3 linked regions of the Neurospora crassa OR74A genome follow. The protein of the gene in region 1 purifies or fractionates together with the protein of each later gene. This does not show direct contact. Links are inferred from orthologs where the notes say so. Each region holds a gene or a part of one and is shown on either strand. Other genes may lie near its edges.

Evidence for each region.
Region 2: the proteins of rpt-4 (region 1) and NCU07913 purify together in Saccharomyces cerevisiae (affinity purification with mass spectrometry; 5 studies listed by BioGRID, with this or other methods). This does not show direct contact. The link is inferred for Neurospora crassa OR74A from reciprocal best matches to the Saccharomyces cerevisiae genes RPT4 and SEM1.
Region 3: the proteins of rpt-4 (region 1) and rpn-7 purify together in Saccharomyces cerevisiae (affinity purification with mass spectrometry; 3 studies listed by BioGRID, with this or other methods). This does not show direct contact. The link is inferred for Neurospora crassa OR74A from reciprocal best matches to the Saccharomyces cerevisiae genes RPT4 and RPN7.

The regions. Positions count from the first base shown.
Region 1 is NC_026501.1:6,197,440-6,203,738, reverse strand, and holds rpt-4 (proteasome 26S subunit), read right to left. Parts: upstream 3,539-6,299; 5' UTR 3,294-3,538; coding exon 3,086-3,293; intron 3,027-3,085; coding exon 2,640-3,026; intron 2,561-2,639; coding exon 2,104-2,560; intron 2,030-2,103; coding exon 1,909-2,029; 3' UTR 1,518-1,908; downstream 1-1,517. UniProt on the Saccharomyces cerevisiae protein: The 26S proteasome is involved in the ATP-dependent degradation of ubiquitinated proteins. The regulatory (or ATPase) complex confers ATP dependency and substrate specificity to the 26S complex.
Region 2 is NC_026504.1:1,370,693-1,375,480, reverse strand, and holds NCU07913 (hypothetical protein), read left to right. Parts: upstream 1-1,474; 5' UTR 1,475-1,833; coding exon 1,834-1,957; intron 1,958-2,193; coding exon 2,194-2,305; intron 2,306-2,626; coding exon 2,627-2,666; 3' UTR 2,667-3,110; downstream 3,111-4,788. Other genes in the region: NCU07912 (hypothetical protein), read left to right, coding at 29-292; pgk (phosphoglycerate kinase), read right to left, coding at 3,207-3,976, 4,039-4,459, 4,565-4,630. UniProt on the Saccharomyces cerevisiae protein: Versatile protein that might stabilize multiple protein complexes involved in diverse pathways. Subunit of the 26S proteasome which plays a role in ubiquitin-dependent proteolysis.
Region 3 is NC_026506.1:2,285,848-2,290,992, reverse strand, and holds rpn-7 (proteasome regulatory particle), read right to left. Parts: upstream 3,979-5,145; 5' UTR 3,623-3,978; coding exon 3,158-3,622; intron 3,078-3,157; coding exon 2,263-3,077; intron 2,180-2,262; coding exon 1,981-2,179; 3' UTR 1,664-1,980; downstream 1-1,663. Other genes in the region: ala (alanine aminotransferase), read left to right, coding at 34-1,088; NCU03971 (mRNA cap guanine-N7 methyltransferase), read left to right, coding at 4,421-5,145. UniProt on the Saccharomyces cerevisiae protein: Component of the 19S cap proteasome complex which acts as a regulatory subunit of the 26S proteasome, involved in the ATP-dependent degradation of ubiquitinated proteins.

The DNA.
Region 1 (6,299 bases):
CACCCTTCTCCACGGGCACAAGGAGGACCATCCAGGCCGCTAAAAATGTGGAAAACGAATACCATTCGGCCGCCGGCCGGATTCCTGCTATTCTTAGCAACCCATGAAATCTTTGCTCCCAGAATGCCGGGTCATTCATATGCTGGATGATGGAAGGTGTCCCCAAAGAGAACACCATGTCACAAGAGTTAGCTAGGTTGATGGAATTCGTCCATACCTCTCTTTCTAGAAAGATCATCAGCCAGTCAGCCACAAACCCAAAGGAAAATACGAACAACGTCCGCGGTCCAGTTTCCCTTTTTCGATCTTTGTGCAATCTTACAATACGGTGGCGCCTTGTTCAAACCCGGCAAGCTCTCACTCTATCTTTCACATGGCAATAATGCTACACACTACTCTACCGCCATGAGCATGATAATGTTAGCGTGACCACCATTCATCCTAGCCGGATATCTATACTATTGTATCGACCAGCCGCTCCACAAACCAATGCGACTAGAGTTCTATCTGCCATGCTACCTCGTATCGTGTTGATCCGCTCTTCGGCGGCGGCGCCCGCCCAGGAACAGGAACAGACACTACTACCATTCACAGAGAGAGATGAATGGCACCCTACCACGCCTACTTACTACTTTTACACTAGCCACCCAGCCATCCCAGCCACTGAGCCGCATAACACTATCTGCTCCATCGCATCACCACAAGAGGTAAAGTGCACATTGGCAAGTTATAAGCCAATTCACCTACGATTTTCTTTTACACATATTATCGTTTGTCAGTGTATGTACACAACACAGCAGGTAAGCAAGCGGGAAAGATATTTTGGGTTGATCCACCTTCACAAGCTCACAAGGCAATCAGGAACCGGATGGAACCATGGAAACATGCGGAGAAGTGAGTGGCACAGAACTAAGTCACTTACAGACCGGACAATAACCGCGGCCGGAAAACGTGATGCCGGAGACTTCCTCCTTGTCTTTGCTAGGAGGTCTAGACCGACAAAATTCCGTCCGTGTTTGACCCGAAACCGAGCTGATCAACACTTGCATGTCCATACATGCACGTGGAACATGTACAAAAGAAGGAAGGCAAGCGTATTCAACCTCGTTGCCTGAGGGGCAAAGACAATCGGACAATCTTCCCTCTGGTTTTCATGATGAGGCGCGGGAAAAAAAAAAAACACTAAACATGGTTGATTGGCAGGGTTGCACAAACCGGAACCATCTTGCCATCATGATCCATCCATCCGTACGTCCATCCACCTAGACATCTGCTCATCCATCCTTCTCAACAGTAAGGCATAACAAAGCGGGTGCCGTAGACCAGCAGCCGGGAAGCTGCATGGCGGTGGTGAAAGCGGTGCTACCTACTTTACTAATGTTGTGGGAGGAAACAACCGTGGCTCCGGGGGGGGGGGGGGGGGGGTCACTCCCGTCCATACTGAGTTTTTGTGTTGCTTACCTCCTTGTGACAAGGTTAGACAGCTACCACCACGTGGAAGATATGGTCATCTGAAGCGGAGATGATTTCTACGGTAATTTTGTTTACCCAATTCCAGCCATTCGATTGAGGATGGTCCTGAAGAACTAAGATAGGATGCGAATTTCAAGGACATGTCATCGTTACTGCCCAAAATTAAGAACCGTCAAGCTTCACCCTAGGGTTGAAGGAAGGGAACGATGCCATAAGCCATCAAATAGCCATTCTGACGCCCTTCCTGCGGGCATCGTGGTAGTCGCTTGTGTACAAATTACAGCTGAAAGCTCGCCTATCATCATCTTCCCCACCCGCATCTAGGTAGGGCGCAAAGTCTGCCTTGTCCGTGTCTAAGATGCTTCATCACTGTTGTTTGCTCAACTGCTACCACCTCCTCCCCCACAACTCCAACCACCAACTACTCCAGTCTTATTATAGCTTCTGGTATTCGAGCTTGCCCTCAAGCTTCTTGGCCTCGGCAACCTTGCGCACCGCCTTGTTGAAGTCGTCTTGGTTGATCGCATCGCGGTAGTCCTTGATCGCAAACAGACCACTATGTAAAATAGAAGAGTTAGCTGGGTGCTGCATGGTCGGCATTTTTTTAAAAGCAGGAAATTGTCAACTTACGCTTCAGTAACCACATTGCGCAAATCAGCACCGTTCAAGCCATCGCTCATTTTCACAACACTCTCGTAGTCGATATCGCCCTCAATAACCACACCAGAGGCGTGAATCTTCAGAATCTCCAGACGACCGACCTCATTCGGCAGAGGAATCTCAATCTTGCGATCTAGACGGCCGGCACGCAGCAAAGCAGGGTCGAGGGTATCGGGGCGGTTCGTCGCCATGATGATCTTGGTCTTGCCGAGATAGTCGAAACCGTCGAGCTGGTTGAGGAGCTCCATAAGTGTACGCTGGATTTCTCTGTCGGCAGATGTACCCTCGCTGAAACGCCTGCCACCGATGGCATCGATCTCGTCCATGAAGATGATGCAGGGCTCGTGTTCCTTGGCGTAGCCGAACATTTCGCGGATTAAACGGGCGGATTCACCGATGTACTTGTCGACGATGGCGGAGGAGACGACTACGAACGCGCAGTATTAGTGACATGTGTTCGAGTATTGGCGCCGTCAAGATGCAAGACAAAGAGGGTGCGAGCTTACCCTTCAAAAAGTTGGTCTCCAAGCTGCTCGCGACAGCCCTGGCTAGTAATGTCTTTCCGGTACCTGGAGGGCCATAGAGCAAGACACCCTTGGGGGGCTTGATTCCGACTCGCAAGAACAGCTCTGGGTTCTTGAGGGGCAGCTCAATAACCTCTCTGAGCTCACGAATCTGATCGTTGAGACCGCCGATACCCCCGAAGCTGACTTGGCCAGGATCCTCGAGCGACATGTTGTATACTAGCGGGTCGACCTCGCGGGGGAGCATGCGCATGATGGTGAGAGTTGTCATATCGAGCGCCACACGTGTTCCCTGCTTGAGCTTCGCCTTGTCGACCTTTGATCGGCAGCCGACGACGTATCTGGGGCCGGAGGAGGCCTTGACAATAACTGTGGCATAATAAGTTCGTAATGGTCTCCAGAGAATGGATAGGGGATGCAAGACGTACACCTCTCATCGTCCAGTTGCTTCAGGACCTCGCCGATGATCTGGCCGACACTTTGCAACGCCTTGATGTTCTCTTCTGTTTGGTCGTACTCCTTCTGTAGGCCCTTGAGCTCCAGACGCAAGTTCTTAAGCTTTGCTTCCCACTCTCGCGACTCGATCAGTTTCGCCTTGAACGAAGCCAAGGCATGTTGGCGCTCCTGGTCCGCCATTATTGTGGAGATATTGCAGCGACTGGCGGTTTGTCTAGTTGAAGGAAAGGTGACGTCAGGCTGTCTTGAGGCGTCAGCGTGATTGACTGTTTCTTGGGTTTGTGAATAGACCGGTAAGCGCGCAGGTCGAAGGGCTCGGGTATGGTAGACGAAATGGTTGTTTGATGGATGAACTGTTCCGGATTGAGATGTTGTGTTGATGCAACTGAACAAGTCGGCAGGCGGGCAATGGGCTGGCGTTGACGCACGGACAAAGGTACGTAGCTATCGATGGAGCTTACCTCAAGCTCTCGTTGCCTTGGGCGGCGGGTGGGTCCAGTGTATTGTCGCATTCTTGCCCCAGCTGAGGTCGAGTCGGGTAGGTGTGAATGCAGGCAGTTACACAGTAGAAACCCCTGCTTTTGCTAACCCCCACTTTTGCTAAAACCCCCCCTTTTGCTAAAGATTTCAGTTGCCCGCATTCCCTCTGGTAGTACACATCACCCCTGGAAAGTTCGTTAGTTCGGTACTTATAGGGGATTTTGATAGGGGAATGATAAGGGGGGTGATAGGGAATAAAACTAATAGAATTGCATATATGGACCCTATAGATTTTGAATAGGGAGAAAGGAGTTACGGAGAATTACTGTATTTGCTATACTAAAACTAGGGTAATCCGAGTACCTTTTTATAGCCGATACTTCCCCTAGTATTAGGTATGGCTTCTATTCGCAGTAATAACCGCCTGTATTCTTCTAGGCATTAAATATACTAACCGTTAAAGGTAATCGACTGGAATAGCTTCCTAAGCTTCCTCGATTGTAGATTTGAGACTCAATCTAGTTGGTTTAATTAGGTATTTACACTCAATCCAATTTTTTATCCAATTCCAGACGTTTTTAATAGAATTAAAATCGGGAGAGTAAGGGGGCCAAGGGATAACCTTTGCGGGATCGAAAATTTGAGCTATAAATACCTTTATTGCTCGTAAACTATAAGAAGGAGTATTATTCTGTATAATATAGAAGGACGAATTTTGTAACTAAAATTGTTGTAAAAGAGGGAAAATCCGTTCCTAGTAGGATTTACTAGTAATTGTACCCCACTCTTTATAGTTCTAAAAGACAAATATACTCTTTATCTTGCCCGTAAAGCAAACCTAAAATATTTATCCCCGAAGTTTCGATTTAATTTTAGTAAAGTTGTTAATATTTTTATTTTTAAAGAGGGTAACGAAACGACGGCTTTAATTAATACTATTTACTTACGTTTTATTAAACTAAATCTAGGACTCCTATTTAAATAGGGTAAAGTTAGCGAATTGTAAAGCGAATTCGAAACGAAGGCGGCGGGTTCTTTTACTAAGGGGGAGGCGCGTAGATTATTCTACGTAGCAGATACTTTGCACTTCTATCGCTATTTAAATAGCATATTCGCTATATTAATTAAATTCAGGGATACGCTTCTAGAGTTTGTACTACGATAGGAACCTCTTTAATTTTATAGGTATATTTATATAGTGGAAGAGAATTTTAAGGGTGGACAGCGGAATAATATACAGTCTACCCCCTACTTTACAGTATTAGGGGATTATTTTATATAAGTAAATATATTATATTTATCTATTTAGTTATTAGAATTTAAATACTAATAATTTTATTTCTAAAATTATATTTACCTTATAGTAAAATTAAAGCAATTAGTAATCTCCTTATAATCTATTTTAGTATATATACGAAGTACTTTATAGATAATATGCTCCTTATATATAGTGGGCGCTAACTTTCACTTTTTAAGTAACAGTTAAGAAGTAAAAGATAATTCAGTAGGGTTAATTAATAATAAGAGGGTAGTATTAGCGTTGGGCGAGGGTAACAATAGGGGGTCTTGCGTATTATTATTATTATTATTATTATTATTATAAGCATTGCGGATTTATTAGGGTTAAGGCGGAGTAGGACTTTTAAATTTAGGTAAGGATAATTGTAATTAAGGTACTAATAATAATAGTTAGTAATAATTAATATATAGTAATAATTTAGAAGGTAAATATATTAATTAAGCGCGTTAATAATAGCGGAGCGGCGTAGCAGGGTAAAAAGGAGGAGCTTATAGCATTACTAATTACGTAAGTTCCTTTCCTTAGTAGCGTACTTATTATAATTATAGTCTATATTACCCGTATAAATAAAATTCTCTTTATTATTAGTAATAGGATTGCTATTATCTTTTTAATATTGAATTTCCTCTTATTAAAGCAATTGAAGTTAAAGGTTAATAATCTATAAGAGTTAATAAAGTATTAAGATAAAAAAGGGTTAGTAAGGGTAAAAGAGAGGGTTGTATATAAAAGAGAGTAAAAGAATAGATTTAAAAACGGAAGGGCGGAAGAGGATTATATATAACTAACTAGTTAATTACTAGTTAATTACTAGTGTTTGTTCGTACACGGACCAAATATTAGTATATGCGTTGAGCAAACATCCGCTTTAGAGTTTTAGATTTCGTTGATTCCAATTGAAATTTAGTATTTATACCGCTTTTTAAATCTATTTAAGTAATTTGGGTAATTTGTGTAATTTTGGTCAAAATTGTAATTTCAAGAAAAATTATTAATTTACTAATTATTTTAACAAGTAATCCTAAAATCTAATTAGTTGAATGCGCTAGAGTACCCTATAAGTACGCTATAACTTTCCTATTATAGAAGGCAATAGGGTAGTAGTTCTAGTAATTCTAATAATTCTAGGCTAGTATTTAGAGGGTTTGTGTGCGTGTGTTCTGTTAATTCGCTCTCACTTTGAGGTTAGGCAATTTCAGCCAATTAGAAGCCGTAGATAGATGTGTCCCGCTTTGCAACCCCCCTTGTAAGAGTATGTGGGGCAAGAACTACGCTAATAAACTTTTAAGGGTCAATATGTAAGGACTGCAAACTGCTAATTGCAACGCTGACGGCCCGGATTAGCAAAAGCAGGGGTCAGGTTTTGGTGGGAGAGAACACTTATACCCTTGTACCGGGGGGGGGGG
Region 2 (4,788 bases), on another chromosome or scaffold:
CCAGATCGGAAAGTGGGGTTTTATCTAGTTGATCATCGGGGAAGGACTCCAATGGAGGGAGGTCGTCGATGTCTCGAGGTACGGTATGCCTGCCGATATCAAGCAAGTCCCGATCATTGATTCTCTTGACTCGACGAACGGGTGGAGCTTTTTCAATGAGAAGGAGAAATGCGAGTATGATCGGATTAGGTTCGTATGTACCGTAGGTTTGTTGTCAGGTTTTCGTTCTTGGGCTGAGCTGCGGCTTGTTTCTGAAAGGGCTTCGTGGTCAGCAGCGGGGCTGGTCTTTTAAGTATTCGCCCAAGTACGTGAAGGAACTAGTGTAGTAGCATTGCCCCAGAGAAAAGAAAAAAGAGGAAAAGGAAAAAAAGGAACGAGGGGAAAGAGGCGACGAGGCGTCCAAGAGACAGTGCCTTTTCCAAGAGAGACAATCGAAAAAGGGTCCCCGATGCCGTCCGCGGTTTTCACACCTTGTTCCATTCCAAGGTTGCTGCCCTGGAACTTGGGCAAACTGTGGCATAAACTGTCATAAGTCCTTCATTTGATACTGTGTTGTGTCAGTATCCATCCCAAGGTATACTGGAGATAATATCCAATGCAGCCGGCACGTCTAAGCCGCGCTCTTCTGCACACCGTACGGTACAATCTACATCTCAATCGTAGCCCTCTGGGTCTTGCATCATCCAAGAATATGGTCTGGGTTCTAAAGCCGGGTTCCAGCCATGACGGAATGGCCGATTCCCCCCAGATCTCCATATAGTCTCCGGGGTACCTATCATCCATTTCTCTCAACTCGCGAATGGCCAGGGCAAAGGCCAATCGAGTCTCAATGGGACTTCTAGGTCAGATTCGATATAAGCACTGCAGATATCGGCATCCCATGTCGTGTAACCACTTGCTAGAGGTGACATTGGAGTCCCGAACTGGTTCACCGCAATGGCTCAGTTGAGCAGATATGTATGAGGTTCAGTTTGCAACAAGAGGGGAAAAGAGAAAAGAACAAAGGTCTCGGAAGATTGGTTTGATGCCGCACCATAGAGCTACCGGGACAAAGTGTTTGCAACTGAACCAGCAGGAAGTTCTTCTTGTTAGTTGTTTGCCTCTATACCCAAGATTTCCTGGTGGGCTGATTCGCGCTCTACGTGTTGAACTAGAAATCTTAACTGCAGGCAGTATACTGTAGTATGCAAGAAATGGGAAGCCATCTGCAACTGTCAGTGATGGTTCGGACGAACTGCAATGCCTGAACAGTGCAGCGTTGATCTTCCAATATGTACAGACCAGACATCAATGACGATGCCAAACAGAAAGACACACCAAGAGCACAATCACAGCTCAGCGGCGGGGGACATACCAAAGTGGGTCCCAGAGCTTTTTGCCAAGATCTGCGACATGGCCCGTGCTCTTTCTTGCCGCCCCTGGCTCGGCCAGGCCAAGTGCAGTGGGCGGAGGAAGCCGAATTGGCACGTCGTCTCGCTGCCGCCTTGGGTTGGGGGCCCGTCACTCGGCAGCTGCAGTTGACGGAACAAACGACAAGATCACGAGCTGTCACGACTGACGGACCAAAAGCTACTACCTAGAGCTATCAACCACCGCAGCGCCCAACATCTTGCCGCCGCCAAACCGACGATTTCGATTCTCCTCCGTGCGCATAATACCAAACAACAAAACCAAGCGCAATCATCATCACCACGACGTGATTAAAAGTACGCCCGACGAGTTTGCCCGCCTTTCGAACAATTCGTCGATACAATCCATCCGTCTAGCGTCATCAGCTTCAGTCCAGCTGGTCCCATCCCTCTATACCTACACACACAAATCACAACATTCACAATGGCCTCAACACAACCCAAGAACGACGCCAAGTCGACCGAGCCCAAGCCCGAGCAGCCCGTTACCGAGAAGAAGACGGCCGTGTTGGAGGAGGACGACGAGTTTGAGGACTTCCCCGTCGATGGTTAGTCTGCCCGCCATGGCTAAGAAGCACCTTTTGCTGGACGCCGCATCGCATTTCAAACACCACCGCATCACGACCTGCTTCCATATATCATATCATTCAACAACCTCTCTGCCTATACCCTTCATCATTGGCACGGACACTACATACCAAACTTCCTTCAACTTGCGCAACTGCGGAGGCTAGCTCCCCCAGCTGTTGTACCGCACATGTAACTAACAAAATAACCAAAATAGACTGGGAAGCCGAAGACACAGAAGCCGCCAAGGGCAACAACGAGGCCAAGCACCTATGGGAGGAGTCCTGGGACGACGACGACACGAGCGACGACTTTTCCGCCCAGCTAAAGTACGTTTTTTTTGTTTTTTTTTTCCTTTTCTTTTCGTACTCCTTCCTTCCTTCTTCCTTCCCTTTTTACCTGCGTCCCTCCCTCCCTTTCCCTCTCCCTCCTCCTCCTACTCCTTTACTATGAACTTCCACTTCACGTAATTAGCTAGCTTTGCGCTAGGAGTTGGGATTGAAAATCCTAGACCCGGGTTGGCGCGTATTGCGCTGGGCCAGTCAGTCAGGCGTTAAAATGAATCACACCATTTTGGAACTTTATGGAGGAAACAAAAAGCAAAGCCGTATAAAGCGACAGTTGCTGACTTGTCTTTTTCAAACCATTAGGGAGGAGCTCAAGAAGGTTGAGGCTGCCAAGAAGCGGTAATCGGAGGACTTTCGAAGCTTGTACAAAGTATGATATGAGGGGAGGACAGGCGCATCAATACAATGTTGACCAAAGTTTCAGTCCGGGATCTTGCGGTGACATTGCTGTGCGAGGCTTCGATATGCGAGTGAAAGGTGAAGGAGACCCTCCGACTATAAAGAGACAATATCCGGAGACGTACCGACTTGTGTAGTCATTGACACAAGTCATTGGGTATCAACACGGGATTGAGATGATCTGCATAGACTTCGTCTCGAACTTGGTGCATAAACTCGAATAATATCTTGGGATGAACCAGATTCGTCAAGCTTATCCGCACATCACACTTCGAATCATAAAAACTGGACTTTAACTGTTTTGTTCTATTTATCGACTTTGGACTGAGTGCCTATCATAGACTGGCCCTGCTAATCCTTCCAAGGACCCTTTATCATCATATGTTTTTTTGATCCATCAGTCATGATCTCTCATTCAATATCCGAGAGGTTTCATAACATCATTATATCTCCTTCCCAACTCCTTTGAAAGCCAAGGACAAACTTACTGACGCTCGCTAAGAGCAACAACACCAGGGAGAGCCTTGCCCTCAAGGAGCTCAAGAGAAGCACCACCGCCAGTGGAGACGTGGCTGAGCTTGTCCTCAACGCCGTACTTGGCAGCGACGGTAGCGGTGTCACCACCGCCAATGATGACGGTGCGGCCTTCCTCGGCAGCCTTGACGCAAGCGTCGAGGGTGGCCTTGGTGCCCTTGGCGAACTTGTCGAACTCGAAGACACCGGCGGGGCCGTTCCAGAGGATGGTCTGGGACTCGTTGATGGCCTGGGTGAAGAGCTTGACCGACTCCTCGCCGCAGTCGAGACCCATCCAGCCGTCGGGAATGCCGTCCTTGTCTGTGGCGTAGCCAGTGTTGGCGTCCTTGTCGAACTTGTCGGCAATGGTGAAGTCGACGGGGAGCACGAGCTTGACGTTGTTCTTCTCGGCCTTCTTGACAAGGTCAGGGACAATCTTGGCGCCGGCCTCATCGAAGAGCGAGTTGCCGATGGGCATGTTCTGGAGGGTCTTCTTGAAGGTGAAGGCCATACCACCGCAGACGATGAGGGTGTTGACCTTGTCGAGCAGGTTGTCGATCAGCTGGATCTTGTCGGAAACCTTGGCACCGCCGAGGATGGAGAGGAAGGGGCGCTGGGGCGACTCGAGAACCTTGGCAAAGTACTGGAGCTCCTTCTTCATGAGGAAACCGGCGGCCTTGACGGGGAGGTCAATGCCGACCATGGAGGAGTGGGCGCGGTGGGCAGTGCCGAAAGCATCGTCTGTGGAATATGGTGTTAGCTACTGTGCCCAATCTTGAAGCCGAGGGGACTGGAAAACTCACTGATGTACACATCACCGAGCTTGGTGAGGTTCTTGCGGAACTCCTCAACCTTGGCCTTGTCGGCCTTGACCTTGTTGCCCTCGGCATCGGTGCCCTTGCCCTCCTCCTCAATGTGGAAGCGGAGGTTCTCAAGGAGAATAACTTCACCGTTGTCGGCCTTGTTGACGATCTCCTCAACCTCGGGACCAACGCAGTCGGGGGCGAAGGTGACCTTCTTGCCGAGGAGCTTCTCGAGCTCAGGAACAACGGGCTTCAGGGAGTACTTGGGGTTGGGCTTGCCGTCGGGACGGCCAAGGTGAGACATGAGGACAACGGCCTTGGCGCCATGGTCGAGCGCATACTTGATGGTGGGAATGGCACCGGCGATGCGCTGGGGGTTGGTGACCTTCTTCTCGGCGTCAAGGGGGACGTTGAAGTCGACCTAGAGAAGGGTGGCATGTTAGAACTTTTGTCTGGTCACCCACCCATCCACCTATATGAATCACACAGCGACATCAGGAGCTAGCTAGCGCTAGAAGAAACTTACACGGATGAGGACGCGCTTGCCCTTGAGGTCGACGTCCTCGATGGAGAGCTTGTTGGAGAGAGACATGATGGCGGTTTGTATGTGACTAGGTATTACGAATTGGAGAGACGATGGGAAGGAAGATCAAGAGAGAGAAAGGAACAAACACAAGACTACGAGAGGATGTCTTATCAACAGAATGAAGGCGAAGGGTGAGAATCAGGTGGATATGCGACAACACGCGA
Region 3 (5,145 bases), on another chromosome or scaffold:
TGCTAACATCCCTTTCTTTTTTTCGCTTCCTAGGGCGCGATGGCTTCCCTGCCAACTGGCAAGACATCTACCTCTCTGCCGGTGCTTCTTCGGGAGTCAACACCCTCCTGCACATCATCTGCGCCGATGAGAAGAGCGGCATCCTGGTTCCCATCCCCCAGTACCCTCTCTACACCGCCTCGCTCTCCATCCTGAACGCCACCTGCGTTCCCTACCTCCTCGATGAGTCCAAGAACTGGGGCACCGACATCAACACCATCAAGGAGTCGTACCAAAAGGCCAAGGACGCCGGCGTCGACACTCGCGCCATCGTCATCATCAACCCCGGCAACCCCACCGGCGCCTCCCTCTCCGAGGAGGACATCCGCGCCGTCCTCGAGTTCGCGCGCCAGGAGCGCCTTGTCGTCCTCGCCGACGAAGTCTACCAGACCAACGTCTTCATCGGCGAGTTCATCTCGTTCAAGCGCGTGCTCCGCCAGTTGCAGAAGGAGAACCCCGACGGCAAGTACGACTGCGTCGAGCTGGCTTCCCTCCACTCCATTTCCAAGGGCATGGTGGGCGAGTGCGGCCACCGCGGTGGCTACTTTGAGCTGGTCAACTTTGATCCCGAAGTCCAGGCTGAAATCTACAAGTTCGTCAGCATCATGCTCTGCGCGCCTGTCATTGGCCAGTGCCTGGTCGAGCTGATGGTCAATCCGCCCAAGCCCGGCGAGCCCTCCTACGAGCTCTACGAGAAGGAGTACCGCGGCATCTACGAGGGCATGAGGGAGCGCGCCAACGCTCTCCACAAGGCGTTTGAGCAGATGGAGGGCGTCGAGTGCGGTGCTCCCCAGGGTGCCATGTACCTCTTCCCTACCATCAACTTGCCCCCCAAGGCCGCCGAGGCCGCCGCCAAGGAGGGCCGTACCCCCGACGAGTTCTACTGCATGAAGCTCCTCGAGGCTACCGGCGTCTGCGTTGTTCCTGGTTCTGGGTTCGGTCAGAAGGAGGGTAGCTTGCACTTCCGCACTACCTTCCTTGCTCCTGGTACCGAGTGGGTTGGCAGCATTGTCAAGTTCCACAAGGAGTTCATGGATCAATATCGTTGAACGGCTCACACCACTGTCAAAGTGTATTTTGATTCGAAAACGGTACTTGATGAAAGGACTCTTTGCGGTTCGTCACGGTGGTGATGGGTGGGTGTCGAGTGTCCTCGAGATGGATGGATGGTCTGACTATGACGCTGCGCACAAGGGGGGCGCTCGTTCATCGGTTCTGCAGCCCCTCAAGTATCAAAGCTGCCGCGGAAGAACAGGGTGTGACCCTGGAGATATCATCCCTTCTCTCCCTTGTAGAATGTCACCTGCCCTGTCCGCTCATCTACCTTAGGGATAGATATGTTGCCCATCCCAGCGCCGGGACCGGATAATGAAGTTGAGGGGAAACATGGTACGGAAAAAGCGAGCGAAATCTTGTTTACCAAGCAGAACTCGGAGTATGAAGGACAAAAAAAGAGCGATTTGGTTCGGCTTTTGGTTTGGTTTGGTTGGTTGGTTGGTTGGTTATGGGATCTTTGATGATACCTCAGCGTTTGTACTTTTTGCTAGCCTTTTGCATTGCACGTATGTACGTAGCCTTATCCAGGATACGAGGGACATACGAATACAAAAGTAAAAAAGCCTGGACAAGAAGAAACGGAGTCTTATGAACACATGATGCAATATCCGTGACAATGAGGAGCAAGTCGTTTTGTGTCATTTGTCCTTACTAGAGACGAGTTAGGCCCTAACGACAATTTAATGTGATAGGTTGCTTTAGGCTCTATTCTCTTCTGATTTCTCTCCGCCTTTCATCCATCCACTCAATCCATGCCCTTGATCATTCATATCCCCTTCCCTTCTTCCCAAGGTAATCGCTAACGATAGCACAGCTCGCTTATACATCATTGACCTTCCCCTTGTTTCACTGCTAGCTTCTAACTCTCTTCAAGTTGGTTCTCTACTACGCCCTTTCGCTTCCCCTCAACCGAACAGCCTGTCCGTACTTCTGCAGCTTGGTAATCAGCTGGTCACCCTGGCGAACCACGTCCTGATACTGCTTGTTCTTGTCGTCGGGCCGGTTGGTCTCGATAACACCCTTGCCATTGACGCGGTCGATGGTGCAGGGAATACGGCCGGCGGCGATGAACTTTGCTAGGTCACTGTTTTTGTGATGTACGATCAGTATATATAGAACTTGTGTCGGGGGGAAGAGGGGTAGAACAAAAACAAGGGGAAAACCAACCGATCCAAGAAATCCACGGTAACACCAAAGTCGTTGGCCATGCTATCCAGTCCCACAACGCGATAGCTCTGCAGCAGTTGCTGGTACGCGCGCAGGCGCATCTCGCGGATGAACCAGTTCTTATGCTCGTGCAGGTAGCGGTCCTGGGTGAGGAATTGCTCCTCCACCAGGGCCAGCGCCTGGAAGAAGAGCTTGTACCGGCCGTTGTACAGGCTGCTAACCAGCTGCGCGAGCGGGTCAAAGTCGACCGCCATCTCCGCCTCAGGCTGTTCCGTGCTGCTGCCGAGCGTGGTCAGGTTAACTACAGCCGTCCGGGCCGCCACGGGGGCGTTATCGGCGTCCTGCATCGAGGCGTCGGCTCCCGGGCCGGCCGAGATGGCGCCGGTCAGTGCGAGCAGCTTGTCCTCTCCGTCGCCAAGAATCGCCTTGATCTCGGGGGCGTCCACGACCTTGGACTTGAAGTCGACGCGCTTGAGCGAGACGGAACCGGCGAGCACGGCGTAGACCACCAGGTTGCTGTAGGTGCAGAGTTCGTACGAGGTAAAGGTGGACAGACTGTCGAGGAGCAAGGGGGCGGCGCCGCTGTAGTTGCGCACGGTGAGCAAGTGCAGACCCTCGTAGGCCTTGAGGCGGTTGCGACGGTCCCAGTCGCCGCCCGATTCGACAAGCGACTTGGCGCGCTCGACAGTCTTCTGGACTAGCTGCTTGTCGCCAAAGAAGAGGCCGAGGCGGATTAAGGCGAGGACGAGATCGATCTTGGTACCTAGAATGCTCGTCTTCTCGAGCAGATCTTGGTGCGCGGCGATGGCTTTTTCCTGAATAGGAAGAGTGTATGCTTAGTATATGTCGGTTGGTGGGAGTGGATGGGTAGCTAAGTGAACTTGTAGTGACCAACCTTATCGCCAACTCGGGCCCAGAACTCGGCCCTCTTTCCCTTGGCAGCCTGGATCTCTGTGTCTCCCGCCTTCTCGACAGCCTCATCTTCCTCTTTTTGGAACTCCTCAAGCTCCTTCTCGTTCTCGGCCTGCAGCTGCTGGTACAGGTTCTCATCCCACGGTAGGCTTAAGCTTGTGGTGGGTTTGTGGGTCGCGATCATGCCGGCGGCGATGCTGCTCTTCCTACCCAACCTTCCGGCACCGGCAGTGTTGGAGCCGCCTTCCCCAACAGAGTTAAGGACACCCTCGGTAGGGTGCGCGAGGTATCGGTAAAAGGGCGCCATCTTGTGCTCGGTGATGGCATCTTGAAGGTTCTTAACGGCCGCTTGTTGGGCAGGGCGGGCGGCGTAGGGGTTTGTGAGGGTGAAGACATGCTGGGCGAGGGGCAGCAGAGGCCATTTCGCGTATTGAGGATCGGAGCCCATTTTGTAGTTGTGATGGGTGCTAGCTTACGAGCCAAGGAGGGAGATGGGAGAGGAGGATGCAAATGGAAGACGGTCCGGTGCTGGTCAGTGTCCGTCGTCTGGTAGAAGCACCCCGCTGGAAATCGGCAAGCAGCTGATGGAGGTGGATGCCGGCTTAAGATGGGAAGTTTCGCGGTGTTGAAAGCTCTTGGAAACTGGATCGCAATGTGTGACTTGGCCTGGCGCTGTGATTCTACCAAAGATGCCGGGTCGAGGTGAGGCTGGGTGGTGGTGATGTCTGTGGTTTAGTTGTGGTGCTCCTTGAATGGTTCGGAAGGTCGATAGAGTAGCTGACCTCACTGGAGAGTGACCAAGGCCCCCAGAGCTCGCGCGTCAGCACTGGAAAGTGGAGACAGAGCTTGGAAGGCGGGCCAGGCCTGCAAGTGGAGCCGCTGGAACAGTGCCCGGGCAGGCACACTTCATCGGCTCAAACACCGACCGACCCATGCTTGCATCCTCAAAACACTTGCATCCCGACTTCCTTTCCAATTGCTTTCTCTCCTCGACAACAACAACAACAACAACAATAACAAGAGCTTTCAACTTCGACATACCGAATTTCGAGTCCCAGAATTCACTTTCAGGATTTGCCTGTGTCTGTACTCGCATCAATCGATATCAACAGTCAAAATCACAACTCACACCACTCACCGTCGCATCAGTTATTCTGCTGTTACACGAAGCCTGTACGCTTGCCATAGTTGTTCTTGCCGATGATCAAGTCTCCTTGCGAGACCACACCAACAGTTTTTTCCAGAAATGTCAGGCTACGATGGTTACACCAGTTATAGGTCCACTCGCAAGAGGCAACGCTCAGAATCGCCCTACGACGACGACCGCAATGGCCGCAACGAAGACCGTCGATACAAGTCTGCGAGGCATGACGAAGATGAGGACGACAACGATGTCCTCCCACAGCCGTTTGATGCCCGCAAGTTAGCTCCGGCCAAGAGAACACAAACCCCCACTACCAGCGGCGAGCCTAGAAAGCAGAAGCGGCCTGGCCAACGTGCCCGCATCACGGAAGCCGAGCGCGAACAGATTCGTCAACGTCAGATGGAGCGCGAGCGCCAGGCTCAGCGGGAGGCAGAAGCGGCCGCCGAAGCTGAGCGCCGCAACGCGGTCAATGACGTCGTACGTGCCCATTACAATGCTGTGCCCGAGCGTGGCCGTGACTGGCGTAAGACGGACAGTCGCATCAAAGGTCTCCGCTCCTTCAACAACTGGGTCAAGAGCTGTATCATCCAGAAGTTTTCTCCTGACGAAGACCACTCGCCTGGCGCTCGTGAGCGGGGAATCAGTTCGAACAATCAGCTGTTGGTGCTCGACATTGGATGCGGCAAGGGCGGTGATTTGGGCAAATGGCAGCAGGCGCCACAGCCCGTAGAGCTCTATGTTGGGCTGGACCCAGCAGATGTCTCTATCGACCAGGCGCGCGATCGGTATCGAAGTATGGTGGCTCGTGGCGGTCATGGCGGCAGGGG